Stegostoma tigrinum: one gene and its partners. The protein of the gene in region 4 purifies or fractionates together with the protein of the main gene of each other region. This does not show direct contact. Links are inferred from orthologs where the notes say so. Each region holds a gene or a part of one and is shown on either strand. Other genes may lie near its edges. The genes, in order: intermembrane lipid transfer protein VPS13B-like, bag5, dnaJ homolog subfamily B member 1-like and dnajc7.

The links.
Region 1: the proteins of dnajc7 (region 4) and intermembrane lipid transfer protein VPS13B-like purify together in Homo sapiens (co-immunoprecipitation; 3 studies listed by BioGRID and IntAct, counting the BioPlex papers as one, with this or other methods). This does not show direct contact. The link is inferred for Stegostoma tigrinum from reciprocal best matches to the Homo sapiens genes DNAJC7 and VPS13B.
Region 2: the proteins of dnajc7 (region 4) and bag5 purify together in Homo sapiens (affinity purification with mass spectrometry; 4 studies listed by BioGRID and IntAct, with this or other methods). This does not show direct contact. The link is inferred for Stegostoma tigrinum from reciprocal best matches to the Homo sapiens genes DNAJC7 and BAG5.
Region 3: the proteins of dnajc7 (region 4) and dnaJ homolog subfamily B member 1-like purify together in Homo sapiens (affinity purification with mass spectrometry; 3 studies listed by BioGRID and IntAct, with this or other methods). This does not show direct contact. The link is inferred for Stegostoma tigrinum from reciprocal best matches to the Homo sapiens genes DNAJC7 and DNAJB1.

The regions. Positions count from the first base shown.
Region 1 is NC_081358.1:121,819,972-121,827,713, forward strand, and holds the start of intermembrane lipid transfer protein VPS13B-like, read right to left. Parts: upstream 3,399-7,742; 5' UTR 3,312-3,398; intron 3,255-3,311; exon of another isoform or gene 3,105-3,254; intron 1-3,104. UniProt on the Homo sapiens protein: Mediates the transfer of lipids between membranes at organelle contact sites. Binds phosphatidylinositol 3-phosphate. Functions as a tethering factor in the slow endocytic recycling pathway, to assist traffic between early and recycling endosomes.
Region 2 is NC_081363.1:40,506,314-40,513,752, reverse strand, and holds the start of bag5 (BAG family molecular chaperone regulator 5), read left to right. Parts: upstream 1-4,352; 5' UTR 4,353-4,382; exon of another isoform or gene 4,383-4,425; intron 4,426-6,039; coding exon of another isoform or gene 6,040-6,110; intron 6,111-7,439. Other genes in the region: cytochrome c oxidase assembly factor 8, read right to left, coding at 3,846-4,016. UniProt on the Homo sapiens protein: Co-chaperone for HSP/HSP70 proteins. It functions as a nucleotide-exchange factor promoting the release of ADP from HSP70, thereby activating HSP70-mediated protein refolding.
Region 3 is NC_081388.1:21,035,469-21,043,120, forward strand, and holds the start of dnaJ homolog subfamily B member 1-like, read right to left. Parts: upstream 3,291-7,652; 5' UTR 3,182-3,290; intron 1-3,181. Other genes in the region: c35h19orf67 (UPF0575 protein C19orf67 homolog), read left to right, coding at 4,128-4,218. UniProt on the Homo sapiens protein: Interacts with HSP70 and can stimulate its ATPase activity. Stimulates the association between HSC70 and HIP. Negatively regulates heat shock-induced HSF1 transcriptional activity during the attenuation and recovery phase period of the heat shock response.
Region 4 is NC_081384.1:12,731,954-12,740,044, reverse strand, and holds the start of dnajc7 (dnaJ homolog subfamily C member 7), read left to right. Parts: upstream 1-4,577; 5' UTR 4,578-4,640; coding exon 4,641-4,711; intron 4,712-8,091. UniProt on the Homo sapiens protein: Acts as a co-chaperone regulating the molecular chaperones HSP70 and HSP90 in folding of steroid receptors, such as the glucocorticoid receptor and the progesterone receptor.

The DNA of each region.
Region 1 (7,742 bases), on a different chromosome or scaffold from region 4:
CATAGAATTTGTCTACAACCTTTGTTCTACCCCTTCAAATGAGAAATAAGCAGATTAATGTCATACCCACTGAATAGTGAAATAGTGAATAGATTTTAGGGAGCTGTTAAAACAATTCTGCCAAACCCTCTGTATCCTAATGAATCCCCAGCTGTATAGTACAAAGCCAATATGGCATTTCTACTGTTACAACCCAACATTTAACCTTATTTTTCTATTCAGCTCCTTGATATCTCAGCATTAAAGTAGTTATAAGAATAAGCCATACAGGCCAAAAGACACAAGTTAAACATGCTGAATTAATTGATGACAGCCACGGTAGTTAAGAAATACAGATATACCGCTTGATGCCTAGGAAACTGTTTCTTCTGCTGGTCAGGTGGAACACAGAGGCTGTTTCACCCCTCTCCCTAGCCAAACTAACAACCAGGTGTCCTGCTCCGAATCACTCTTCAGAGACTATTAGTGTTGAGTAATTTGTTTTCTGTGACCATCCTCATTTCCATCACATAGAATACCTCCAACGGGAAAGCAGCCATTTGGCCCATTGAACCTACACCAACACTTCGAAGAGCATTCCACCCAGATCCAGCACTACCCCCCCCCAACCATATATCAGTATCCCTGTATTCTCCATGGTTAATCAGCCTAGCTGCACATACTTGGGCAATTTAGCATGGCCAATCCACCTAATGCACGCATCTCTGGACCTTGGGAGGAAACCAGAGGACCCAGACGAAACGCAGACACTGGAGAATGTGCAAACTTCACACATACAGTTCCCCAATGCTGCAAACAAACTTGGGTCCCTGACGCTGTAAAGCAACAATGCTATCCACTGAGCCATTGTCCTGCCCACCTCATGTTACCTTCAGAGTTACTTTTCAACTCCATCAATAGTTATCAACTCACGTCTCATACACAGAAATCTACTGCGTCATGTTACACTCCAATCCACCTGTGAAAGAAATTCCAATTTCCAGGCAGTATGTATCAATTAACAATATGGCACTGCAGATTGGCACGCCAGCCAACACTTCATCTCAACATTATACAATCCAGAATGCAACATATGTTCAACCTCAACCAATGCCCCATATACTGAAATGCTATTCAGCAACAAGGATTTCCTACTACTTCCCACAAGTAGATTTTATTGCACCCATCTTATACCAAGTTGCTTTACACATAGAATCTCAAATCTCAAAATCAACAAGCACTTACAAATAAACAAACCACCCCTAACTGAACAAGAGTGACATTGACAAGAACTAGTTCATTTACTGTTCTTCCAGATCAAGGGTGCATATTTCAAAAGATATATGTTCATTTTGTGAGTTTTGTAATCTGTCACTTTCAAATACAGTGATCCTCAATCAGAGTCAAATCATTATGGGGCTACCGACAAATTTGTGTGAAGTGGAATTGCAAGATAGCAAAAGAGGCCTCTAGGCAACCTAACTTTTGACGATGTCAAACACATGCTCAATCTCAGAAAAACACAAATAAAAACACAATGACTCCCCTCTGGACCAGAAACGGGAGTGAGTTCTGCTTGAGCTACCTTGAACAACTTTAGCAAAGCTTCATCATCATCTGAGTTCTGAAGAGGAGTCACCGGACCCTAAACGTTAACCGTTTTTTCCTTCACAGATGTTGCCAGACCTGCTGAGCTTTTCCAGCAACTTTGTTTTTGTTCCTGATGTTTACCATCCACAATTCTTTCGGTTTTTATCTCATCACCGGGTTAGGCAATCATTCTCTTCCTCTCAGGAGAGGATGCCTGCTTTTCAAACTGTTTCAAGCAGCACAGTGGCTCAGTGGTTAGCACTGCTGCCTCACAGAGCCAGGGGCCCATGTTTGACTCCAACCTCGGGCAGTTATCTGTGTGGAGTTTGCACATTCTCCCCCTGTCTGCGTGGGTTTCCACTGGGTGCTTTGGTTTCCTCCCACAGTCCAAAGATGTGTGGGTTAGGTGGATTGGCCATGCTAAATGGCCCATAGTGTCTAGTGTGGGAAATGCTGAAATAGGGTAGAGAGTGCGTCTGGGTGGCATGCTCTTCAGAGGGCCAGTGTGCACTCGATGGGCTGAATGACCTGTTCCCACACTGTCAGGATCCTATGATTCTATGAAGAGGTCTGCCTTATGCTTCAGAATTGTTGACAAACTCAAGAGTACAATCGCCCAATTGTTAATGCCTGCTTTTCACTTCATGCTATGGTTTTTCACCTGCTGCACTAACTTCATTTTCTCTCTCGCACTTCAAAAGTCTGAATAGTCTTTCACAAGAATATTTTTTGTTGTCAAATGATGGTATATGATTTCATGATTGTGCACTCTAGTATGGCCTAACTCTGCTCCAATTGGTTGGTGTAGTCAGATTAAAGTTTGTACAAATTCAGCTAATCCAAAGGAACCAATAAAGGCCTTCAGTTTATCACAGGGATCATTCTCTGGTTGTGCCAGCTTACTAACAGGAATGGCTAACTTCACACAAGTGGAATTTTGCACTGTCCAAACTCAACTGATCACAATTTCACTACAGATCAAGTAGGCTTTCAGAACACAGAATGTCATACTAAAGAGCTTCATATATTGCTTAAGCATCCGCAGATATTTGAAAATTTCTAGAATGAAAAAAAAATGGAAAGAGAGAGAATGGAAGATGGCAATGTCAGGAAACTTCCGAAAAATTAACAGAACCAGATCTCAGCTTCTCTTCCAAAGCCCTCCTGGCAAACGTCAAACAATAAATGTTCGTCTTATATTTTAAAATATAGCAGGAAAGTAATCTGACTTTAACTGAGGCAAAGGGAATGCTTTTAAAGCGCGTGAGTTTATCTGCTGTTTAATCACACGTAGATCTGTCAAACTATCGGCGACCTGTACAAATTACACACCACAGGAACTTGTTACCTGCCAACATGGAATGCGAATGATCAAGCTATGTTAGTTTAACATGGTAACTACACCAGAAAGTACAACACAGCGTGGTGAGTCAGCCCCATGAGCAAACAGAGGAAGCAAAGTCAGTCCCCTTGCTGTCAGGTAACAGGATGGGGCAAGGCCACAAAAACTCTTCAGCTGCTCTCAAGAGACCCACCTCCGGCAGAGATCACACAAATTCAGCCTGACATCGAGCAGGCAGCCGGCAGGTCAACGGCTGATCGAGGATTGGTGCTAACTCCCCAACAGACATTAAACAGCCGCTTCCACCACCATTACCATCATCAGCATCAGCATCACCTCGACACTACAGTCAACCCCCCACTCCCTCCTCCCATCACCAACGCAACTCTCCCACACTCACAGGATGACCGACGACAGACTCTTCCAGTATCCCGAGGTGCAACGCGCCTAGTTTTCTCCCCGGGTGGATTCGGATTCTGACTCCAGCCCAAACCCTTGACCCATCGTGCTAACGTCATTTCCGTCAACCGAACGGTTCCGTCGGTTTGGTGGCGGGCGGGACTGATGTGGCGCAGGCGCACTGGTTGGCCTGAAGGAGGGTGTGTGAGAGGTGCAGGAGGCGGAGGATTAAACCGAGAGCTCATTGGACGCTCATGAGCGATCCAGCACCCAGGGAAACAAAGATGGAACAAATAGTCAAGTAAGTGTTGTGGTCGGGACAACTTTCTGCCTGATTAATTTTTATTTGCTTTCAACCAGCCCCGCACCTCAGCGACTGATCGCACTGAAGCCCGGGGCCTCCTGTGACAGCAGTAGCCTCCAGGGGGATCGTATCTTTTCGCCACTGCTGAAGCACTTTGCTCCCTCTCTGCGATTCTCCGCTCTCCCTTCTGTCCTTTTCCTTCCCCTGTCCACCCTCACGCCGTTCCTTCACAAACCCTCCCAGTACTCCATCCCCTTCACCTCCCAGCCTCCGACCCACTCTTGCCTCCACAACACACTCCCCCCCCCCCCCCCCACCAACCGACCCCCACGGACCCCTCCTCAGCAGTTACTCGATACACAACCTACTCTGTCACTTCCCGCTGCCTGCTCTGTTCTGCTCTCTTCCCACCACTTAGCCAACCCTCCTGACGCACACTTCGCCCACTCCCAATTTTGTACCTCCACTGACACCTTCGTCCACCCCTGCCTTCATCAATCTTCCTCCCGTCCTCCTCATCTTCCCACCTTTTCGATATGCCCAAATTTTTGAGGGCATAAATCACGTTAGAGCAATTTGACCTAGATGAACAGCAATGATTTTGAAGAGAATGGTGTGGTCAGCTGCATTAAAACAAAACACAGATGAGCGAGAAGCACAAGGAAGGAATAGTCTACTTTTGTCACATCATATTGGATATACTTTGTGACTTTGATTGGAGATATTTCAGTATTGGAGAACTGCATCATACTCTGAAAATATGTTCTGGATCATAACAACTGGCAGCATTGAAAAGAAGGAATTTTCTGCATCTTGCCTGGCCATTTCATCAAACACCTTAAGTTGATGTTGTTTGGTTGTCAGACCTTAGACCAATTTAATTGGCTATGTCTAGATCTGTCATGAGTTTAACCATCTCTGAATTCTCTTCTCGATATTCTGCAAGGAAGAAGCAAGAATTGCAATTGATGTTGATTGTAATGAGCGACCAACAAACATTGTCTGTGATCGTTTGTCTGCATGTGTGAAAGGGATATGCAATTTTAACTTATGAGTTGGGTAATGAGTTAGATAAAATGCAAATAGATGTTTAGATGTACAGAACCTGACTATTGGAAAAAAGGACACACCTTATCAAAGCCTTTCATCTTGAGGTCATCGGAACAATTTGTAAGAATGCCAGTTGAAGACAAAAAATGATTTTTATGCTGTTTGAACGAAGAGTGCTGCTTGATGACAGTTGTATTCTGGTGTAGTGATTACTTCAGAGAATGCACCTGTTGATTCCTTTCCAAAAAGGTCCAGCACAAGCCAGGGCCCCTGCACACCTCTTATACCCATGACAAGAGACAATAATGCTGTATATAAATGAGTGTCCTCTCTACATATTAAGTAGCCTTCAACTCAGCAACTGAGGAAACAATCACTTTGTACTCACAATTTGAATTTGCTAAATAAATAAGTAGAACAAAGGTTTGAAATCTTTTAATAGAAGGAGAAATGAACCATTCTGTTGAAAAACAACATAAATTTCGAATTAATTGAACTGAAGCATGTGAAGTTGAACAGCAGAGCTCAAAACGTTACAAAATGGGAAACAAAATAAAAATTATCCGTACAAGCATTTGTGTATTGATAGGTTTTACTGAAATATGGAAGACACTTATTGACACCTTCCATTACCTCAAGATGTGTCTTAATGTGTTACAGTAATCCAGCACTTTTGAAGTGTAGCCGCTTGTATTATCTAAATGTTGTATTGCTTTCTGTTGGGAATGTGAAATTAAAATGGTGATTTACAAAAAAAAGTTGTTGCTCATTTGCTCGTTTAGATACTGTTTTGTTAGCCCTGTTTTCAATCTTTGCCTTAATGCTCACTGCTCACTTTCTGCTGCAGTTTTGACAATCTTTCAGTCATGGTCTTGGAATTGGATTGTTAAGGGAGGCTGTTTATGGCATTGTTATAAATGAGACTTAGAAGATTGTTGTTTGGAGACTGTGTCTTTTCAATCTCGGGTAAAATGGAGAAGGAGTCATGAGACTTTTTCTGATTCAGCCTGATGACAAATACAGGAGTGAAACCAGAAGTTGTTGGGAAAGCTCAGCAGGTCTGGCAGCACCTGTGAAGAAAAAAAATCAGAGTTACTATTTTGGGTCCAGTGACCCTTCCTCAGAACTCGGAAACTCAGACAAATACTGCATTCCTAAAGGTTAAAGCGGGTCAGGGAGATGTAAAGGTTGTTTTACTGGAAAGAAGATATAAGATAGTTGTGGAGGGGGTTGGGGAAAGAATGTCCGTCTAGGGCAGTTGCACTAATGGCAGACAGCGTCACAACTCACTGTGGTAGTGTGCTGGAAATGAAGCCCAATATTCCCAGACTTATCATGTTTTTTTATTTACCCTTGGGATGAGGGCATCCCCTACTGGCCAGCATTTATTGGCCATCCCTAGTTGCTGTTCACAAGGTGGTGGCGAGCTGCCTTCTTGAACTGCTGCAGTTCATGTGCCAAAGGTTGACCCACAATGCCCTTATGGAGGGATATCCTGAATTTTGGCGCAGTGACAGTGAAGGAACAAAGATATATTTTCAAGTCAGGATGGTGAGTGGCTTGGAAGGGAACTTGCAGGCGGTAGTGTTTCCATGTATCTGCTCACCATGTCTTTCTGAGTGGAAATGGCTGTGGCTATGGACAGAGCTATCTAAGGATATTTGGTGAATTTTTGCTGTGCGTCTTGTAAATTGCATACAATGCCTCTGAACGTCGGAGGTGGAGGGAGTAGATGCTTGTGGATATGGTGCGAAAGTGTGGTTGGAGCCATGCCCATTCAGGCAAGTTGGGAGTATTTCGTCACATTCCTGACTTGTGCCTTGCAGATGGTGGACGGCTTGGAGGAATCAGCGGGTGAGTTACTCACCATTGTATTCCTAGGCTCTGACCTGCTCTTGTAGCCAGTGTTTATGTTGTAAATCCAGTGTGTTTCTAGTTGGATGTTGACAGTGAGAATTCAATGATGGTAACATCATTGAATATCAAGGGACTGTGGCTAGATTGTCTCTTAGTGGAGATAGCTATTGCCTGGCATTTGTGAGCACAAATGTCACTTGTCAGCCCAAGCTGGGATATTGTCCATTTAAACGTGACAGCCTCAGTGTCTGAGATGTCATGAAAAGTGCTGAACATTGTGCAATCATCGGTAAACATCACCACTTCAGACCTTATGATGAAGGGAAGGTCATTGATGAAGTAGCTGAAGATGTTTGGGCTGTAGACACCACCCTCAAGAACTCCTGCAGAGATGTGCTGGAACTGAGTTGACCAGCTTCTAACAACCGCAACCATCCTCCTATGTGCCAGGCATGAATCCAACCAACAGAGACTTTGCTCCCCGCTACCCATTGATTCCGGTTTTGTTAGGGCTCCTTGATGCCACGTTCAGTTGAATGAGGCCTTAATGCTGAGGACAGTTACTCCTACCTCACCTCTGAAATTCAGCTTTTATCCCCATTTGATCCAAGATCAGGAGTTGAGCGACCCTGGCAGAACCCATCCTGGGCATCACCTGAGCAGATTATTGCTGAACAGATGCTACTTGACAGCATCGTTGATAACACCTTCCATCACTTTACTGATGTTCGCAGGTAGACCAATAGGCAGGAATTGGCTGGATTAGGTTTGCGTACGGGACATAGCTGGGCAATTTTCCCCATTGTCAGATGCCAATGTTGTAACTATACTGGATCAGCTTAGCTGGAAGACTGACAAATCCTGGTGCACCAGTTTCAATAGTATTGCCAAAATATTGTCAGGGCCCATAGCCATTGGAAACTGAAATGTCTTCAACCGTTACTTGATATCATGTGTAGTGAATTGAATTTGTTGAAGACTGGTACCCGTAATGCTGGGGACCACTGAAGGAGGCTCAGATGAATAATCCTATTCACACTTCTGGCTGAAGATTGCAGGAAGTAATTCAGCCTTATTTTTTGCATATGTGAGAAGATTTACTGCCAAACTATTCAAAGTTCCCTATTTACCTGACTTATGAACCCAGCTTAAAATAACACAATCATATTTATATACTTTAACAAAATAATGGTTCATTGTAAATAAGATAACAAAGTGTGA
Region 2 (7,439 bases), on a different chromosome or scaffold from region 4:
TCATTTCTTTCATAAAGACCTGAGCAAAAAACTCATTTAGGGCTTCCCCTATCTCCTCAGACTCCACACACAAGTTCCCTATGCTATCCCTGATCGGCCCTACTCTTTCTTTGACCATTCTCTTATTCCTCACATAAGTGTAAAATGCCTTTGTGTTCTCCCTAAACCGTTCTGCCAAGCCTTTCTCGTGCCCCCTCCTGGCTCTCCTCAGACCATTTTTGAGATCTTTCGTCGCCTGCCTGTAATCCTCTAGAGCTGAGCTTGACCCTAGCTTCCTCCACCTTATGTAAGCTACCTTCTTCCTTTTGATGAGAAGCTCCACCGCTCTCGTCATCCAAGGTTCCTTTATCTTACCCCTTCCTGCCTGTCTCAGAGGTACATATTTATTCATCACTCGCAACAACTGTTCCTTATACAGTCTCCACATGTCTATAGTGCCTTTACCATGGAACAATTGCTCCCAGTCCATGCTTCCTAACTCATGTCTAATCGCATCATAGTTTCCTCTTCCCCAATTAAATATCCTCCCATTTTGCCTAATCCTCTCCTTCTCCATAGCTATGTAGAATGTGAGGCAGTTATGGTCACTATCACCAAAATGCTCTCCCACCACAAGATCTGATACCTGCCCCGGCTCGTTTCCGAGCACCAAGTCTAGAATGGCCTCTCCCCTCGTCGGCCTGTCAACGTACTGAGTTAGGAAACCCTCCTGAACACACCTTACAAAAACAGCTCCATTCAAATCTTCTGCTCGAAGGAGGTTCCAATCAATATTGGGAAAGTTAAAGTCACCCATTACAACAACCCTACTACGTCCGCACTTTTCCAAAATCTGCCGACCTATGCTTTCTTCAATCTCCCTGCTGCTATCAATTTCTTTCAGTGTTTTTTTAATAATGCAGAGGATGGTGGGGGTGTCTGGAATTCGCTGCCTGGGTAAGTGGTGGAGGCAGAAAATGAAAACTCTTCAACATATCTGAATCTGCACTTTAAATGCTGTAAGCTGCAGGGCTACGGCCTGTGGTCAGGAATAAAGAATTAGAAAGATCATCTGGGTATCTTTGGGACAGACTGAACAAGATGTGCCAAACGGTCCCATTCTGTGCTGTATCATTTCTATGGTTCTGTTTTGACTGGGTGATAAATATTAGCCAGGACAAAAGGATAACTTCTTTGTAATTCTACATAGTATGAGGGGATTTTTTTTGTCCATGTGAGAGAACATGCAGTGTGAAAAAACTTGAAAAATCTGTGGATGCTGTAAATCAGAAACGAAAACAGAAGTTGCTGGAAAATCTCAGCAGGTCTGGCAGCATCTGTGAAGATAAATCAGAGTTAACGTTTCGGATCCAGTGACACTTCCTTGGAGCAGTTGGTGGCGAGGAAAATGTCAGTTTATGTGCTGAAGATCGGGTGGAATGAGTGGGTTGGGAGTGAACGATAGGTGGGAATAGTGTCCAAAGACAGAGAAGAACAGTTGGACAGACAAAGGAGTGGATAATGATCTGGCTGGGAGGGTGAATAGCTGTTAATGGAGACGGTTATTGGCTAACAATAGATAGTGTGTAATGGCAGAATATGTGAAAACAAGGCCTGGTGTGTAAAGTAGGGGTCTAAGTCATGGAAGAGTTCAGGCCCTACAATTATTGAACTTGATATTGAGTCCGGAGGGCTGCAGGGTCCCCAAGCAGGAAATGAGACGTTGTTCTTCCAGCTTGCGCTGAGCTTCACTGGAACTGCAGCAAGCTAGAGACAGAGATGATGGCCAGGGAACAGAATGGTGTGTGAAAATGGCAGGCAGAGTCTTTTTTTGTGAGCAGAATGCAGGTTCTGTGAAGTGGTCACCCAGTCTATGCTTTGTTTCCCCAATGTACAGGAGACCACATCATGAGCAGTGAATGTAGTAGACTAGATTGTGCAAAGTTCAGGTAAAGTGTTGCTTCACCTATAAAGTATGTCTGATCCCTTGGATACCGAGGAGGGTGGAGTTAAATAAGGAAGTCTAGCGTACTGGCCTTGATATTACAGAGGCTGAGCGCCTGCTCTTAGATAGATCCTCCTATTGTACCTGGATCATGACCTCACCATGACACATCAGACCATTGTATCTCTCACGGTCAGTGACCTCAGTTCAACCGTCACTGCCTCGAAGCTGATAGTTCCCCCAGCTCCACACAGCTCGCTTCTACCTCCTTCCGAAAATCCATAAACAGGACTGCCTGGGCAGACCCATCGTTTCAGCCTGCTCCTGTCCCACAGACCTCATCTCTTACTATCATGATTCAGTCTTTTCTCCCCGTTCCAGTCCCTGCCCATATATGCCTGAGATTCCTCTGACACTCTATTCCGGTTTCAGAATTTCCAGTTTGCAGGCTCCAGCCACTACCTTTTAACTCTTTACACATCCATCACCCCCCCACACACAGAATGGTCTCAGGGTTCTCCACTTCTTCCTGAATGGAGGCCTGAGCTGGCCCCACCCTCCTTCACACCCTCAACAACTTCATTTTTAACTTCTCTCATTTGCTTCAGGTCAGAGGGATGGCCATGGGTATCCACATCAGCCCAGTTACTCCTGTCTCTTAGTTGGGAACATGGAACATTTCTTGTTCCAGTCCTATTCCACTCCCACCCGCAACTCTTTCTCCAATATATTGATGATATTATCGGTACTAATTCCATCTCTCATCAAGAATTGGAAAAATTCTTTGATTTTGCTTCTAATTTCCACCCCGGCCTAACTTTCACCTGGTCTATCTCTGGCTCTTCCCTTCGTCAGCATCTGTTTCCATTTCTGGGGACAGACTAACCACTACATATCCACTATAAACCCACCGACTCCCACAGTTACGTGGATTATACATCCTCGCAATTCTGCCTTCTCTAAAGATTTCAGTGCATTCTCCCAGTTCCTCAAACTCGGTCGCATATGCTCCTATTGGGCCAACTTCAACAAGGGAGCTTCTGAAATGTCCACCTTCTTCCTCAACGATTCCCCAACACCATTGTCAACAAGGCCCTCAACCAGATTCGACCCATCTCTCACACATCTGCCCTCAGCCCCTCTCTTCCCTCCCACAACATTGATAGGGTCTCTGGATTAACAGTCCAGCAATAATACCACTAGGCCATTTTACAATTTTACAGGTCTGATTGAAAAAGAGATTCACAAATTACGTCTAATGAGGGGAAGGCATGAAGCTTTTCCTGAAAAGAACTTCTACAGCACTGGAATTTTTGATGTATGTACTTCATAGCAAAGTAGCAATCAATCTTTGATTGCAGTCAGTCTCAATTAGTCTCAAAATAGCTATCGGATGAAAGCAGCTACAACTCAAACAGCTCAATATCCAAGACAAGACAGCCCACTTGACCATCCCATTCACCACTTTAAACATTCATTCTTTATGGCAAACTGCATGACACGGGTGGCTGTAATGTGTACCATGCAATACACTGCACTAACTCTCAGAAGGTTTTTCCGCCAGCGTGTGCTAAATATTTTAAGATACTGCATCCAAAACGCAAAGGCTACAATTGCGGCATTTAACATGACAGCTTGAGATGGCTGATATACGTGAACGATTCTGCCAACGGATGAAAATTTTCCTCCATTGTCCACTTCTAACAATAATATTCAGCATCCACGCTGAGTTATCTCTTAATAAATCAAACCTTCGTTAAAGCAGTTTGCGGGGAAAAATCAAGCACAGTACAATATTATGTTTATATCCTACGTTAGGTAGATCAGGACAGTTCCCGAGAGGGTAATAAGTTTCAAATAACATCGACAGTCACCCTAGAGTTGCTTCACATTTACTAGAAACAGGAAAGTTGACATATACCTCGGTACCATTGTCACTTTGATCAGCAGCACTGCTCGAAACTGGACAGCACCTTCCTCCCAACACCACGTATTTGTCCCCTCCAGTTTCCTTTACCCGGGTACTATGAAATATTCTTGTTCTCGATAATTTTCCAACAAACGAAAAGACAGTTAGGCACCTACAGCTCATCACTGACAACACACAACCATCCGCCCTGTCCGAAGCTGTTCCAGTTTACGGCAGTAAGGAACCGACATCCTGTCGTGAAAGCGATCCGGCAGTTGGCAGGGTTTGGCTCTACGCATGTGCGTGGTCGAAAACTCTTCGAGCTATCGCTTTCCAGAGTTTCCGGGCGGGCAGTTGGCAGGGTTTGGCTCTACGCATGTGCGTGGTCGAAAACTCTTCGAGCTATCGCTTTCCAGAGTTTCCGGGCGGGCAGTTGGCAGGGTTTGGCTCTACGCATGTGCGTGGTCGAAAACTCTTCGAGCTATCGCTTTCCAGAGTTTCCGGGCGGGCAGTTGGTCGGTGAGTGGAAGGATCCAGAAGGAGCTTCTGGTGGGTTTGACAGGGAGTGAGCTCGTCTCCCTGTCCCACTTCGGTGTGTTCAATCGGGCGCGCACGCGGTTTGGGAGCGAGTCTCGTGCATGCTGTCTTTCGGTATGACCGGTGCGGCCTGGCCCGTATGACAGAGCCTAACGTGGAGTTTATCTCTCGAAGCCTGTGCCAACAGGCCGTCCGGCTTTTGCTGCGCTAACGCCTCATGAGTTTACTCAGAGATACTAGGATCTGCCGATGACGGAGCCTAAGATAACAAGGTGTGGAGCTGGTGAACACAGCAGGCCACACAGCATCAGAGAAGGGTCCAGACCCGAAACGTCAGCTTTCCTGCTGCTCTGATGCCGCATGGCCTCTTGTGTTCATCCAGCTCCACACCTTGTTGCTTCATAAATTACATCGAGAAGTGAAGACAAACTGGCTGCATCGCAGTCAGTGATACGTTAATCATCCTAGTTCCCGTGTAATCTGAAGGCACGATATGTCCAAGGGAGATTTTCTCTAGCACCACCCCGCAATCCAGCATACCATATCAACATGATCTGTGATGCTTAGTATCCTTCCTTTTTTTATTTTTCAGTCACAGAATCCCTACAGTGTGGGAAGAGGCTCTTCGGCTCGTGGAGTCTGCACCAACCTTCCGAAGGGCAAGATAACAAAGTGTGGAGCTGGATGAACACAGCAGGCCAAGCAGCGTCTTAGGAGCACAAAAGCTGACGTTTCAGGTCTAGGCCCGAAACGTCAGCCTTTGTGCTCCTAAGACGCTGCTTGGCCTGCTGTGTTCATCCAGCTCCATACTTTGTTTATCTCAGATTCTCCAGCATGTGCTGTTCCCATTATCTTCCAAAGGGCGTCCAACCCTATTGCCGTAACTCCCCATTTATGGCTAATCCACCTAGCCTGCACATCTTGGGAGAAAACCCATGCAAATGCGGGGAGAATGTGCAAACTCCACGTAGACAGTCACTCGCGTTTGGAATTAACTTGGGCCCTGGCTTAGTGAGGCAAAAGTACTATAGTGAGCCGCCCTATTCAGGAATTATCTGATCGAGCCCTTTTTCATGACGCACTATATGTGTAAGCCTGTAATTTGTTCCCTAAATGAATAGTCTTTTGGGAATAAGAATGACCTGCCATCCGACCAATTCTACCCTTGCGTGATTTATATGCAGGATCTGAAGTTACATCGAAGTTAAGAGCAGGATTTGACTCGGCTCTGCCATTCAATATCATCACGGTTGATTATTGAACTCAATACCTTAGGCCTGCCCATTCCTCCTCCTCCTTCCTTCGCGCCTGCTTCCCCACCCGCAAATATGCCTTAATCACGAGTCACAAGAGCTATATGTAGGTACATATAGTTGTATACTTTGAAAACAATGTTTTGGTCTCAACTAGTTTCTGTGGTCATGAAATCCACAGGTGTACCATTGTTCAGGTGTAGAAATTTCTGCAGAACTGAGTTCAAAAGGTTTACCTCTCGTCCTTAAATTATGACCTCTGGTCTGAACTCCCCCACATTTGGGAACATTCTTCCTCCATCCAACCTGTCTAGCCCTGTTAGAATTTTGTAGGTTTCTACGAGATTTCCCCCCCTCATTCATCTAAACTCCAGTTAATACAATTCTAACTGTGTCAATCTCTCCTCATACATCAGTTCTACCATCCCAGGATTCAATTTGATAAGCCTTCACTGAACTTACTCAATAGCAAGACACCCTTCCCCAGGTAAGGAGACCAAAACTTCAGTCATATTCCATGTGTGGCCTGAATAATTGCAGCAAGGGCATCCTCATTCCTGTATTCAAATACTCAAGCTTTGAAGGCCAACGTACGGTTTGCTTTCTTTGCTGCTGCACCTGTGTGCTTATTTTCAATGACTGGTGCATGATGACACCAAGTCTCATTGAACATTCTCCTCTTAATTTACAACCATTCAAATAATGATGTATTATCAAAGTGGTACTTTCTTATCAGTCCAGTTGAAATAACATATTTGCATGAAAACTTGAAACTTCAATATTTGAAGCAAATTTCCTGGTTACCACCACACTAGCCTATGCTTCTTTAAGGAACTAGAGCCAGCTCTTTGATAATTACTTCGCTACATAATTTCATGGAATAGAATCATAGAACCCCTACAGTGTTGAAGCGGGTCATTCATCCCATCAAGTTTGCACCAAACCTCCAAAGAATATCATGTCCAACCCAACACCCCCAACCCCCATCCCTACATTTCCCATGGCGAATGCACCTAGCCTGCACACTGTGGGTAATTTAGCATGGCCAATTCCCCTAACCTGCACACCTTTGGAGTGTGGGAGGTAGTGGAGGAAACCCACCTGCCCACTCCCATGCACAGATGGGAAAATGTACAAACTCCACACGGCCTGAGAGTGGAATCGAACCCAGCTCCCTGGCACTGTGAGGCAACAGTCCTAGCCACTAACCCCTATTGAGCGTGGCTGACACCGTATGGCTTTTCTCATCCATATATCTCTATGTAATATTTGAGAAAATGCAGGGAAGGTTTCACTTTGCATACATTTTGTAAACACGCAGTGAGGTACAGTTTGTTAGCAGCTATATTTTAGGCAACTGATCACAATGATCATCACCAGAATTCTAGTTAAAAGAATTAACAAAACAGTCCAAAGTTAATTGGTGGACAAACTAAGACAACAGGTGAATAACTGTAATTTAAAAATGATGTCTGAGTACAAATATCTACAAAACCTGACCTCCTTTTATCAATTTTCCAATACACAGTACATCAATATGTTCATTTTCAGGCTGGAAACAGCCCATGCAAACTTGCCATGCAAAAACTACATCCTCCCACTCCTGGTGGTACTGCTGAGACTGAATTTTGCATCTTTCAGCTCACTAGAAATATTTAGTCCATTTTGCCTGTTCTCTGAAAACACTCGTTCCAATTAGTCTCACCTTCTACTCTTTTCTGAGAGTCTTATAATACTTCTCCTTTTTAAACAGAGATCTAATAGTACCACCAAACCAGCATTCATTAATTTTTCAGGCACACATTCCACATCATTA
Region 3 (7,652 bases), on a different chromosome or scaffold from region 4:
GTTTCCAATTCTTGACCTTAGCTCTGCAAATGAATATCTAAATATGGTTTCAATGTTATTAGAGTTTCTGACCCAACCAACCTTTTCCAGGAATGAGTTCCAAACTCCCACTACCATTTGGGTGAAAAATATATCCCTTTTAGCCTTTGACCTTTTACCTTTAAAAAAATGCTTCCCTGGTTACTGATGTCATCGAATGGGAAAAATGTCTTCCTACCCACCCTATCTGTACCCCTCAATCTTACATCTCTACTGGGTCACCTGACAAGCCGAGATTATCCAATCTTTCCTCACATTTCAGACCCTTCAGTCCAGGCAGCATCCTGGTAAATCTCCCCTAGTGAAAAATCACATTCTCTCCATAGTGTGTCGATCAGAACTGCACACATTACTCCAATTGTGGCCTACCTAGTGTTTTATACATAACCTCCTTACTGCAGTATTCTACACCTTGGCTAATAAAGGCAAGTATCCTAAACACCTTAACCAACTTACCTACCTGCCTTACTACTGTCACAGATCTATGGACATGCACATCAAGGTCGCTCTGAACTTCAATACTTTCCACAGTGCTATTTACAGTGTAATCCTTTGCCTTGCTGGCCCTCGCCAAGTGCATTACTTCTCTTTTCTGCACTAATTCCATTTGCCACTACCCTGCCCACGTGAGCAGTACACTGATGTTTTCCCACCATTTATGGCCATCTTCCTCACTTGTTGCCAGCTCCCCCCACCCCGGAAACAGACTTCCAGTCAGAGAAACTTCCTTCTACGTTTTGGCTCTTAGCTAATTCTGGATCTAATGTGCCACTTTGTCTTGGATCCCATGAGCTCTTTGCTAATTGGACCAGCTATCTCAACCATTGCTGTGTTAAAAAATCCTTCCTTGGTTCTTCTTCAAGTTCACATCACATGGTTCAATATGTTACTTCCCAGCTGTCTTTTGAGGAAAAACAAAATCAGCATTTTGAAAATAAAGTCAGGGTGTTCCTCCCCAATATCCCAGGTCAGTATCTTTCCCCCGACCTACTTTGGTACTGTAAAAAACATCTCAGTCGTCTAGTACATACCACAGCCATGCTGGTCATGAAAGGTGCTATAAAGACAAGTCTTCCCTTACCCACCAACCACCATTAGTTTAGGTTTTTAATTCCAAACCTACCTGTGTTGCCACCAACATTGTCAGTGAGTCAGAGTCATTAACATTTACAAGCAGTCACGAACCCTCCTGTGCCAAACAGATATCCAAACTCAATCCAGATCCATCACACAGCATTTGGCCCACAAGCTACTAAACCCTTCCAATTCAAGTACCCATCCAGATGTCTTTTCAATGTTGTAATTGTACAAGCCTCCACCACTTCCCAGGCAGTTCATTCCACATAGGCACCTCGCTCTGCAGGCAAGTCTTTCCCCTAAGGTCCCTTTTAAATCCTACCCCCAGCCCCCTTCCCAACTCTAGTTTTGGACTCCCCAACCCTAGTGAAAAGGCCTTGACCCACTCACCCTATCCATGCCCCTCAAGATATTGTCCTGCATTACTCAAGGATCAATGGACCTTCTCACTGCCTCATGACCATTCATCCATGGACTCCATTTACACAGCTCACAGCCGCAGAAAGGCTGCCAACATCAAAGACCCACTGCAACCCAGTAATGACCTCCTACAAGCTCTTCCATCAGGCAGAAGATACAGAAGTCCAAACACAAGGGCCAGCAGATTCAGGAAGAGCTGCTTGCCAGCTGTTATCAGACTGATAAACAGACTGTCTAGCATCAAACAACACTGATCTTACTAACATTGATCACACCTAGCACACATCCTGTTTGCCTGTCTATGTCTTTTTGACCTGTACATCCTCGCTTACTATGATCTGCCTGAACCGCTGGTAAACAAAGCTTTTCACTAAACTTTGGTACATATGACAAATCAATTGCACACCTGACAATTCTGACAAGTCCTTTCCCCGACTCTGTATAGGTCACCCTTCTCTCCTTTCACAAGTCAACCACACCCCCCACTTCATCATCTTTTCTGATGGCAGAAAAGATAACCTCCTTAAGTTTTTGCTAACATTCCAGATACACAACTGCAATAGAAGAGAAAAGAGTTATAAAGTTACACAGCACAGAAAGAGGCCCTTAGGCCTACTGTACTGATTTCAGGGAGTTCTTCACAACTCTGTCAATGGGGTTGCAAAGATTACAGAGCCCAAAGAAATTAGCAAGCAATGGAGAGAAAGCAAAACCACAACCATTTGAAGATTTTAGCTCCCCTCCCCTCCCCTGACAAAAGACCAACTGAAATCATAAGCTCAGAAACGCAATGCAAATGGCACCTTTTTGAAGGAGATCTCCCATTCCAAATAAGTCCTGGCCTGGTTTCACCAGCTAGCTGGTGTGGTTACCCTTTTCAAGTTCTGAAAGGTCAGCAGGACTCAAAATGTTAACTGCATTTCTCTCTCTCTCTCCACAGACACTGCCAGACCCACTGAGTTACTCATGCAATCGAGTTTTGAGAAGATTTCTCCTGCAATTTCTGCTTTTGGCTGTAATCCCCATGTCAGCTGGGATCTGACAGCTGATCAGTCAGTGTCAGGTTACCCTATGAGTTGCTGAGAAAAGGAATTTTGTTATGGGTGGGGGGGGGGTAGAATTGTAAAGACCCTTTAGTTCTGGTTTACTGCCAGGATGGGATACACCCTTTGAAAGACAATTAAACCAGAACACGGGAGGAGCGGGGGAAGAAAGGTGAAAGAGAGAGATGTAGAAGTTGACGGCTGTTCTTAACCCTTGCAGGTTTACGTTGAAAGTACCTTGGGCTGGAGGGCCTGTCATTCCCCTAACCTTTGGAAAAATGTACGATGATGGGGAAAGAGCAGTCTCGTTACCCCCTACCCGCTTCCCCCCCCCCCACGGGCTGTCTGTCACAACACAGGGCAGGGAGGGGCAATTTATCAAATAACAGGCACAGGGGCTGCCCCTGTCCTGTCCACACCCCTTCCTAACTCCAACAGCTTCAAACCTTGCCCAACCCACAACGTTTTCTCCCCAAAGTAGCAAGGGGAAACAATGTATCCGGGCCCTGACACAAAAGGGAAAGGATACATTCGGCCGCCAATGTACCTAATGGACATGCCCCTCACCCTGGATACATTCGGAACCCCTCAGCAACACTCACCAGGCCGCGCCGCTCTCACCGTCTCTCCGCAACACTTTCAACAAATTGCTCGAACTTTCAGGAACATTCCATACATCGTCACTTCCTCTCCTCACCAGATCCGCCCCCTTCTCACCCAGCCCCGCCGATCCCAACCGCCAAATCCCACCCACCAGTCCAAGCCCCGCCTCCGGCCTCCGCACACCACCCCCCCGACAAAACCGATACCCCCGCCCCTCCAAACCCCGCCTCACCACACCAAACCCACCCCCTCCACACCAAAACACACCCCGTCCACTTCAAAGACCACCCTCTCCACATCAAACCCACCCCATTCCCAACAAACCCCGCCCCTCCACCTTCAAAACCCGCACCCCCGACAAATCCGCCCCTCCACACCAAACGCACCGCATCTCCACCAAAGCCCGCCCCTCCACGCTCAAACCCCGCCCCTCTACCCTAAAATCCCGCCTCTCCATCCCAAACCCTGCCCTCCGGACAAACCCCGCCCCTCCACCCTCAAACCCCGCCCCGCTACACATTCTCCGCCCCTCCACTCCAAACCACGCCGTCCCGATAAACACAGCCCCTCCAGACCAAACCCCGCCCCTCCACCCTCAAACCCCGCCCCGCTACACTCATTCTCCGCCCCTCCACTCCAAAACCACGCCGTCCCGATAAACACCGCCCCTACAGACCAAACCCCGCCCCTCCACACTCAAACCCCGCCCCTCTACGCCAAACCCCGCCCCCTCGAGGCGATGGCCGGGCTGTGGTACATGCTCGCAGCAACAGCATTCACTCATTCATTCAGTCAGTTCCTGAGGATGGGTCACTGGATCTGAAACGTGAGCTCTGATTTCTCTTCACAGATCCAGCCAGACCTACTGAGCTTTTCCGGCAACTTTTGTTCTGATTTAAAACATCCGTGGCTATTTCGGTTTTCATTCATCCATTCATCTCCGAGATGTGGAATTGCTTCTTGGTCCCCAAATTCAACTTCTCCCCGGGCAAGAGAAAGGGCAGCAATGACAGGGAGGGTTACTTGTACATCACTGGTAAGAGAGTGTTGAGCCCACGACTCCAGTCTGCTTTATTTAAGGAAGGATAGGAAACCTGAGTGTTTACTAAATTGAAAGCCGAAGACTTTCCAGCCTGTGAGATCCTTCTTGTACGCCCGGTTAATCTGCACCACCGCACGCTGCCCTCAAAGTGGCTGCAAGGTGGGGTTAGAGACTGGCACACACCTCCTTCTGGAATGTGCCTTTGCGAACGAAATACAGAGAGAGATGCAGTGATTTTTGTCGAGGTTCATTCCGAGCAGCTCCATGACACAGGTATGTGTGCTCGACGGTCTGTTCCCGGGGACACACACCAAGACAAATATCAACTGCACCTGGAGGACCAGCAACTCAGAGAAAGATTCTCTTTGGTCTTCCTGAAACTTGTTGGATCTTCCAGAGCAAGCACAAAGAACAAGAACAAAGATAAAGAACAAAGAAAATTACAACACAGGAACAGGCCCTTCGGCCCTCCAAGCCTGCGCCGATCCAGATCCTCTATCTAAACCTGTCACCTATTTTCCAAGGACCTTTATCCCTCTCTTCCCTGCCTATTCATGTATCTGTCTAGATACATCTTAAATGACGCGGTCATGCCTGCCTCTACACCTCCACTGGCAACACGTTCCAGGCACCCTCCACCCTCTGCGTAAAGAACTTTCCAGGCATATCTCCCCTAAACCTTTCCTCCTCTCACCTTGAAATCGTAACCCCTAGTAACTGAGTCCCCTACTCTCGGAAAAAGCTTCTTGCTATCCATCTTGTCTATACCCCTCATGATTTTGTAGACCTCAATCAGGTCTCCCCTCAACCTCTGTCTTTCTAAAGAAAATAATCCCAATCTACTCAACCTCTCTTCATAGCTAGCACCCTCCATACCAGGCAACATCCTGGTGAACCTCCTCTGCACCCTCTCCAAAGCATCCACATCCTCTTGGTAATGTGGCGACCACAACTGTAAGCAGTATTTCAAATGTGGTTGAACCAAAGTCCTATACAATTGTAACATGACCTGCCAACTATTGTACTCAATGCCCAGTCCAATGAATGAAAGCATGCCGTATGCCTTCTTGACCACTCTATCGACCTGCGTTGCCATCTTCAGGGTACAATGGACCTAAACACCCAGATCTCTCTATGCATCAATTTTCCCCAAGGCTTTTCCATTTACATATAGTTTGCTCTTGAAGTGGATCTTCCAAAATGCATCACCTCGTATTTGTCTGGATTGAACTCCATCTGCCATTTCTCTGCCCAACTCTCCAAACTATCTATATTCTGCTGCATTCTCCAATAATCCCCTTCACTATCTGCTACTCCACCAATCTTAGTGTCATCTGCAAACTTGCTAATTAGACCACCTACACCTTCCTCCAGATCATTTATGTATATTACAAACAACAGTGCTCCCAACACAGATTCCTGTGGAACACCACTGGTCACCATTCTCCATTTTGAGAGACTCCCTTCCACTACAACTCTCTGTCTCCTGTTGCCCAGCCAGTTTTCTATCTACTAATACATCCTGGATGCCATGCAACTCCACTTTCTCCATCAGCCTACCATGGGGGACCTTATCATACGCCTTATTGAAGTCCATGTATATGACATCCACAGCCCTTCCACCATCTATCAAATTTGCCACTTCCTCAAAGAATTCTATCAAGCTGGTAAGACATGACCTTCCCTGTGCAAAACCATGCTGCCTATCACTTGTAAGCCCATTTTCTTCCAGACGTAAATAGATCCCATCCCTCAGCTTCCCCACCACTAACGTCAGGCTCACCGGTCTATAATTACCTGAATTATCCTTGCTACCCTTCTTAAACAAGGGGACAACATTAATAATTCTTCAGTCCTCCGGGATCTCACCCGTGCTCAAGGGTGCTGTAACGATATCTGTTAAGGCCCCAGCTACTTCCTCTGTTGCTTTCCTCAGTAACCTGGGATAGATTCCATCTGGAACTGGGGACTTGCCAACCCTAATGCCTTTCAGAATACCCAACACTTCCCCCTCCTTTTGCCAACTTGACCTAGAGTAATCAAACATCTATTCCTAACCTCAACATCTGTCACGTCCCTCTCCTCGGTGAATACCAACGCAAAGTGCTCATTAAGAATCTCACTCATTTTCTCTGACTCCTCACAAAACTTCCCTCCTTTGTCCTTAAATGGGCCAACCCTTTCTCTAGTTACCCTCTTGCTCCTTATGTACAAATAAAAGGCTTTGGGATTTTCCTTAACCCTGTTCACTAAAGATATTTCATGACCACTTTTCACCCTCTTAATTCCTCATTTCAGATTGGTCCTACTTTCCCAATGTGCTTCCAAAGCTTTGTCTGCTTTCAGTCACCTAGACCTTATGTATGCTTCCTTTTTCCTCTTTGCTAGTCTCATGAGTTCACCTGTCATCCATGGTTCCCTAATCTTGCCCTTTCTATCCCTCATTTTCACAGGGACATGTCTGCCTGCACTCTAATCAGCCTCTCTTTAAAAGCCTCCCACATATCAAGTGTGGATTTACCTTCAAACAGCTACTCCCAATCCACACTCCCCAGCTTCTGTTGAATTTTGCCACAGTCTTCATCTCCCCAATTTAGCACTCTTGCTTTAGGACCACTCCCGTCTTTGTCCATGAGTATTCTAAAACTTATGGAATTGTGATCACTATTCCCAAAGTAATCCCCTACTGAAACTTCAACGAACTGGCTCGGCTCATTCCCCAACACCAGATCCAGTATGGCCCCTTCCCGAGTTGGACTACATAATACTACTCCATAAAACCCTCCTGGATGCTCCTTACAAATTCTGCTCCATCTAAACCCCTAACAATAAGTGAATCCCAGTCAATGTTGGGAAAATTAAAATCTCCCATCGCCACCACCCTGTTACTCCCATACCTTTCCATAATCTGTCCACATATTTGTACCTCTATCTCACGCTTACTGTTGGGAGGCCTGTAGCACAGCCCCAACATTGTTACCACACCCTTCCTGTTTCTGAGTTCTGCCCGTATTACCTCACTGCTCGAGTCCTCCATAGTACCCTTCTTCAGTACAGCTGTGATACCCTCTTTGACCAGTAATGCAACTCCTCCACCCCTTTTACTTCCCCTTCTATTCTGCCCAAAGCATCTACATCTGGGGATATTTAGTTACCAATTTCACCCTTCCCTCAACCTGCCTATTCTTTCATTTCTACTCTGACTAGCAGGTGGCACTGGTAGCAATCCTGAGATTACTACCTCTGAGGTCCTACTTTTTAACCTGGCTCCTAACACCCTAAATTCTGCTTGTAGGACCTCATTCTCATTTTTACCTATATCATTGGTGCTGTTGACCTCAAGTAGTTGTCCTCAACAAGTAGTTGACCTCAACCAAGTGTTATAGACTGGCACATCCCAAGGTCCAGGACTACGTGCTGAGGGACGC
Region 4 (8,091 bases):
TCACAGTGCCAGGGACCCAGGTTTGATTCAGGTGACCGTGTGGAGTTTGTATATTCTCCCCGTGTCTGTGAGAGTTTCCTCCGGGTGCTATGGTTTCCTCCCACAGTCCAAAGATGTGCAGGTTAGTTGGATTGGCCATGCTAAATTCTCAATCGTGTCCATGGACGTGCAGCCTAGGGGGCTTAGCCACAGGAAAATGCAGGGTTACCGGGACAGCCTAGGGGTCTGGGCGAGATGCTCTTCAGAGGGATAGTGCGGATCCAAATGGCCTGCTTCCCCGCTGTAGGGATTCAATGTTCAAAAGGGGAGCAGTTCCCTGCCAAGAGATCTTCCACATCCGCCTGGAAAAAGGGGTGTTGAACAACCCAACTGAAACATGTCAACTCTGGCAGAGCAGCACTGCCCTTGGGCAGATCAGCCTGGATTCTGCTACTCAAGTATCTGGGGTTGGAAGTTGAATACAAAAAAAGTCTCCTGTCCCAACTGGCCAAACCACTGAGCCATAGCTGAAAATAATGCAAACCTAAAAGGCTGATGAACACTGTGTAACACATAAACAGGATGAACATAAAATAAACAGATTAATATTTCCTGCCCAGTGAGATCCCAGCCCCTTTCCTGATTGCTGATAATATTTTTACCTGCAAATAATTAGTGAGAGGTTTGAGAGGACGCAACTTCACTTGGGACTCGGTTGGGACGTCCGTGAGGGAGCAGATAAGAATATTGATATCGACTTGTTCCCGGCAGATGAACAGATTAAAGTAAACAAAGGCTTTCCTCCTCAGAACAAGCCCATCCACTGCTTCCATGCAACAAACAAGGAGACGACGCGGAGAATGCGTTACCTCAGCCCCTCAGGCTCGGCTCCACAAACAGCGCCCTCAAGAGGCCTGGAGGAGAGTTTGCCCTTTGTTTCCTCACTTTGTTTGATTGGGTAGGATTTGAAAATTACTCACAACCCAACAGATTTTATCTTTGTAAATATTGGTTCTATTTCGCCAAATGCATTTATTTCGCTGGAAAGGAATACTTTCATCTTTGTATGTTTGTCTACTTGTTCATGGGATGTGGGTGTCACTGGCTACTGGCTGCTATGTATTCCTGCCCCCGAAGGTGCCTTTCACACAGGACGTCTCAAAGGCCTTGATGGCAGATGAAGTTATTTTGGAGTGTTGTCCCTGTTGCTAAGTAGGAGATACAGCAACAAACCTGCAATTACAGCACTGTGATCGTCTTTTTTTTGCAGTTTTGATTGATTGCCAAGTGTCAGACAGGAGGGCATAACTCTCTTACTACTCTTTGCAATAGTACCATGTCTGCCAGATGGCGCAGATGCAACCTTAGTTTACTATCTGAAAGACAATACCACACCAGCTTGGATTTTTTTTTCATTTACATCTCCGGAGTTGGACTTGGGCCTATAACCTAATTCAGAGGTGAGAGTGCTACCTTCAGAACCACAGCTGCCACCTGCACAGGATTGTCACTACCCCTTTATCCCTTTGCTTATTATTTGTTAATGGGATGTGGGCATTCCCAGGCCACCAATTATTGCCCATCCCCAATTACCCTTGAAAACTGGTGCTGAATTGCGGTCTTGCACTGCTGCAGTCTGTGGAATGTAGGGCCAACCACAGTACATTTAGGAAGGGCGTTCCAGGATTCTAACTCAGTCGCACTGGAGGAACAAGTCAGGATGGTTGTAGTTTGGAGGGATCTTGTAGGTGGTAGGGTTCCCAAGTAATTAATTGTTTATACAAAGGATCATGGTTGTCAATATATATTAAAGTTACATAAAATCACATAATTGTACAAACAATTGTTCACGTGTGGAGAAAAGCTACTTGGTAAGTATATCAGCGGATGTCAGCGTGGACATCATAGCTTCAGGGTCAGGGCAAGGAAAGGTGGTTCTCAAAGCACCAAAATATGTTGACAAGGTAATTGTAAATAAGAGCAGATCTCAGCCCATCCATGAAATGGTGCACAACTGAAAGCTTGAATTAGACGTGGATCAGAAATAAGGTTGAAGTTAGATTGGAGAAGTGAAAGGTTGTCTGCAAACCCAGAACTAGCTTTAAAAAGGCAAACATTCAGAACTGAATTGCGTTGTAATTTTTAGATCTCGTACAGGTTTTGGTTCCCTCTGTCCTTCTCTGAGTCCTTTCACAAATAACAGAAAAGACCCGTTTACCCCCAAGTTGGCACAGAATGATCGTAAATTTAAATGGGAGAAAATGAAATGGCATACTGTCACATTTTTGAGATTGAATAAATTAAACTACATTCCACAGATAAAAAAAAGTAAACCAAAAAGTAATACTCAAATGTTTTACACTGATCGTACGGTCCTCCATTTTAAAGTATCTTGGACAATTTGGTTCATATGTGTCATTCATCAGTTTTACTGTTTTTTTTCCTCTGGTTATTGTTAGGGATTTACACCAAATTGTGCATAAATTCAGGTGTTTGCATACAGGTTAAGTAATTGATTAGCTCCACAATCACAACATGTGGCAGTCATTTTTGGATTGCCAGGTGAGGGTCAAATTTGAGAAGTAGATTAATGACCTCTTGATTGGAATTTGTAACTTGGTCACAGACATTAGAGAAGTGCCAGGTTTGCACGAGGCCACAGCACCCCCGAACTTGTGAGGACAAAATCTGCAAGGTTCCCACTCTTGATGATTATTCGCTGATTTAGACAATAACATGAATTTCAAATAGAATTGTAGTTAACCATGATACACTCAAATCAAATAGGCGCTTAACTTTGACTGACAAGGCACTGGAATATTGTATTGTAAGATTGACACCAGGCTGGAAAAATACCACAGAATACCTTCAGAGAAACAAACAAAGGGAGCAAGATAAAATTGATATATCACAAAAAAAGTCAAAAATACCCAATTTTGGCCTTTTTTATGTAGTTAACATAATTAAATCAAGCTGAGGTCTATACCAGAGTTACAGTCAAGAAAGCACACCAATGCCTCTACTTCTTCAGAAGGCTAAGGAAATTTGGCAGGTCTATAATGACAGTTAACAATTTTTATAGATTCACATGGAAAACATCCCATGCAATGCATCACAGCTTGGTATGGCAATTGCCCAAGACTGCAAGAAATTGCAGAGAGTTGTAAACACAGCCTTGTCCATCACACAAACCAGCCTTCCGTCCATTGCCTCTGTCTACACTTCCTGCAGTCTCAGAAAAGCAGCCAATAATAATCAAACACCCCACCTACTCCGGTTATACTCTTCAAACCTCTTCCATCAGGCAGAAGATACATAAGTTTGAAATCACATACCAACGGATTTAAGAATAGCTTCTTCCCTGCTATTATCTGACTTATGAAGGGACATCTCATATATCAGAATTGATCTTTCTCAGCACCTTCTTTTAGTTTTAACACTACATTCTGAATTCTGTACTATTACCCTGAAGCAGTTATGTAACGTATGATTTGTCTAGTTGGCAAGCAAAACCGAAACGTCAGCTTTTGTGCTCCTGAGATGCTGCTCAGCCTGCTGTGTTCATCCAGCTTCACACTTTATTATCTTGGATTCTCCAGCGTCTGCAGTTCCCATTATCACTCATCAATAATTTCCACTGTAGCTGAGTACATGGGACATACTGCTAGTGTTGCTGCCAAACATCGCATTACGTCGCTTGTGTTAGTGCCAGGAAGTGCAGTTATCATCAGTGCCACAGTACCAGGCATAGTCTCCATTACAAAAACAAAAATTGGTGGAAAAACTCAGCAAGCCTGGCAGCAGCTATAGAAAGAAAGCAGAGGTAATGTTTCAGGTCCAGTGACCCTTTTTCAGAACTATCTATGTTGGTTGTGTTGGTGCCAAACAGTGCAATTATCATCGGGTTAGTGGGCAAGCACTACTGTCTCACAGTGCCAGGCACCCATGTTCAATTCCAGCCTCGGGTAACTGTCTGTGTGGGGTTTGTACAATCTCCCCATGTCTGTGTGGGTTTCCTCCAGGCGCACTGTTTTCTCCCACATCCAAAGAATTGTCGATTAGGTGGATTGGCCATGCTGAATTCTAGTGCCCAGGATGCATAAATTAGGCGCGTTAACCATGGTAAATGCAGGGTTACAGGGATAATGTAGGTGAGGCGAAACCGGGTGAGATGTTCTCCAGAGAGTCGGTGTGGACTTGTTGGGTCGAATTGGCTGTTTCCACATTGTAGGGATTCTATACAATCCCAAGGTGACAGGCACAGTCAATCTGGTAGTGATTGAGATAACAAAGTGTGGAACTGGATGAACACAGCAGGCCAAGCAGCATCAGAGGAGCACAAAAGCTGACGGCTGAAATGTCACCCTTTGTGCTCCTAAGATGCTGCTTGGCCCGCTGTGTTCATCCAGCTCCACACTTTATCTCGGATTATCCAGCATCTACAGTTCCCATTATCTCTGTTAGGGATGGTACCAGGTAAATAATCAGCATCAGGGTCACAGAGCCAGGCTGATGGTACCAGGGCCAGCCAGTGGAGGTCCTCCATCTGTTTGGGAGGTCTGCAGTAGTTTATGCCGCAGGGATGCTCTTGCCTCCCGCCCGGCGGGTGGAAGCCTCGTTGTTCCGGAAGCCGGTCGGTACCGGGGTCCGGGTGTTGGGAAATGGCGGCCGGAGACTGCGATGTGACGATGGCCCCGGAGCCGAACGGAGCGGGAGAGGCCGATCTGGAGAGGTAACCGGGAGGGGAAGGATACTGCTGGATCCCCAGGCGGATGAAATAACAAACAAGGGCTGGGCCTTGCCTGGAAGCGGGGCTGGGTGATTGAAGTCCCTGAGGGTGAGATATAGGCCCCGGGGGAGAAGGCGGTTAACCCTGTGCCCGAGGAACACAGGATCCTGGAGAAGGACAGGCCCAGGCTGCGGTCACAAGTCCCATCGCGTTATCTGCGTTAAACATGTCTCAGGCGTTTGTCAGTTTTATATAAACGGCTGAAAAATAATTGATCATTTCTCAACCTTTGATGCTACAACTATCCTTTCCTCCTGTTGGTGCCTTCGTTTATACTCGGCACATTCATATTTCTTCAAGATAGTTATTATTTCTAATTTACAGGCTTTGGAATTTTAGACAAGATTATTTTGTGTCCAGGAAGCAGCTCTCCCCAGAATCCACGTGGGGCTTTGTGCCAATAATGAAATGGCAACCTTCCTTCCCCCACCCCCCCCCCACCACCATAAATACTAGAACCTTCCTCTTAGAACACTTACGAAGATGTAGTCTGCGTTTTACCAGATATCAATTTGTTCTCACTCCATTTTATTTAATTCCCAAATGGTCTGATTTATCAAACATTGGTTTGCTCAGCCAAGTGTAATAATGTGGGTTAGAAGACCCAGGCTCTGCAGGAGCCAGAGATTTCTCAGTTTAGGGATAACTTCGTTCATTTTTGTTCCGAGACATCTTTCCCCACCCTTCCCCTTAAATCTAAAACTTCATCAGAGAATAGATATGCAATGAGCAGTGTATTAATTCACCAGTATTTGTTTGAAGTCAAGTCTGAATACAGTACCAGGATTTTGTGCCCAGAAATGTTGTTGGAAATATATTGGGGTTGTAAAGTATTCTTGGCTGTAGAAGGTCAGGGATGACTTTATTGATTTGTTTCAGATGATAAAATAGATGTGATTGATTGAGAAATCTACCACCTGTAGTAAGGACGGGTTTGAGGGACAGAATGGCCTACTCCTATGCCAGCATTTCTTTGAACTGATTATTGATGCGCCCTTGTTTCTTGTACTTTTTATCCCACACTCCAAAAAGAAATTACATGCCCTGAATGTAAGTGGGCATTAATTAAGCCAGAAATAATAGTGATGTTGAAAGATCGAGCACATCTGCCTTTTTACAACTCTCATTTCTGAAATATTTGCAAACTCCCGAGTAATGCCTGTTTGTGAAATGAGTATTTGTGTATATTTACATGAGGTAGAAAGTTCTTTTAGAGATCTAGCCCGAGAAGTTGTGGACTGAATGGTTGCCACTGTATTGGAAAATTATACGATGATTCCTTTGCTATTTCACCCATGATTGTACTAATTTCAACGTACAATTAACATTTTGATCTATTCCGTTACATGAAACCTGTATTGAATTAGCTTTGATTCTTCCCAGGCATACATCCATGGAAGTCCATCACCTTGAAATCGTTTGACTTTTATTCATCAGTCTGCAGAATAAAGATCCTGAAAAGAGAGCCCATTAGACTTGGCACACTTGTATTGGCCCTCTGAAAGCTTAACACTTCTACTCTTTCCTAGTACCTTTACTTAAGTTTTTTTCTTCAATATTTTTAATCCTTCTTTAAAGATGGTAATAGATTCTTTACAGCCCTGTTTTCTTTTGAGTATCCTTTGTGCTATTCAAAGGAAGAAACAAATCTTATCCTTTTGTTCTTCTGATTAGCTTAAATTTACACAGCTGCTAGTTTCCAATTCAGAAACCGAGGAAATTAACTTTCTCCAAATTTGCTTCATGTCATAGAATCACAGTCATACAGCACAGAAACTGCCCTTCTGGCTCATATCCCTCCAAATGTTTCCTGTTCATAAATTATCTAAATGTCTTTTAAACGTTATGTGTATGGGATTGTCTGATGGCTTTTAGGTCAGGAGAGTTGTGGTAAGGGCTATGTATCGAGGTAGAGAATAGCATGTGAATGTTTATAACTGTGCTTAGAAACAACCCTATTCGGAAGCTCACCTGCAGACTTGTTAAGTAATTCTTTCTCGGACCCCGACTTGCATATGTCTGGGAAACGTTATGTGTGACTGAATTGGAATTCAAAATGGACGTCTTGTGGAGGAGTATTTGAGCAGAGACAAATAGATCACATCAGTCTTCCAAAAGCCTGACAGTGGGGTGCTATTACTCAGCAGTTCACAATTAAACATTAAACTCATTACATAAAGGGGTTATGTCTGAATTTCAGAAGATTTTGATTGAGTTTGTCCGTTGAATGCTTCATCGTTGCAGTTTTCATTTATATAACACTTGTTCTTCCAGACAACTGTGTGGAAACTGTTAATTATAGAACGGTTACAGATGACATAAAAATGTTATATTTGTCATCAGAAGTCTTGGGTGACAAAATTTTCTTTCTGAAAGTGCGCTCCAACTCTTATGATAAAATATTACAGGTGTACTTCATGCTGAAAATTTCTGAGCTAATTTGGTGTTGGGGTAGGTTAGTGTAGAGCTGGAACACTATTAGAACATAGAACAATACAGCACAGTACAGGCCCTTTGGCCCACGATGTTGTGCCGAACTTTTACCTGAAACCTAAGGTCTATCTAACTTCCACCCCTACCTTATACTATCATCCATATGCCTATCTAATAGCAGCTTAAATGCCCCTAATGAGACTGGCCCCACTACCCTCTCCAGCCATGCATTCCACGCCCCTACCACACACTGAGTAAAGAAAAGTACTTCACTGCCTCCCTAAGGGGTAAACAATGCAGTAGGAGAAATATTATAAATTGCAAAATAAGAAGGCGTCTCAATATTTTGCAAGTTTCAATCAGATTCCCCCTGATCCTTCTAAACTCTATGGAGTACAGAACCAGAGTCCTCAACTCTCCTCATGTGACAGATTCCTCATCCCTGGGATCTTACATGTCAATCCTCTCTGGGCTCCTCTGAAACATTCTACCTTAGATTCAGGGCTTGAAATTGCTCACAATATTTCAAATATGGTCTAACCAGAGCCTTATACAGCCTCAGCAGGACATCTCTGCTCTTGTATTCTAACCCTCTTGAAGTGAATGCTAACATTGCATTTGCCTTCCTGACTGAACCTGCCTGTTAACCTGAAGAGAATCCTGAACTTGGGAGTACCAGAAAAACTCTGGTTTGATCCACTTGCAGTAGTGTTGTTTAGAACTGAATGTTGGACTGGTGTTAGCATTTTTTACCGCTTATCATGTTGCAGATCATGCCAGTCAGATCTGTTACATGGGTAAGTTTGAATTTATTTGAGAGCTGGGAGCTCGTACAAAATGGCTGTTGCTCATGTTTTATTTTCTGTAACTTGCCCACAGAGGCAGTTTCT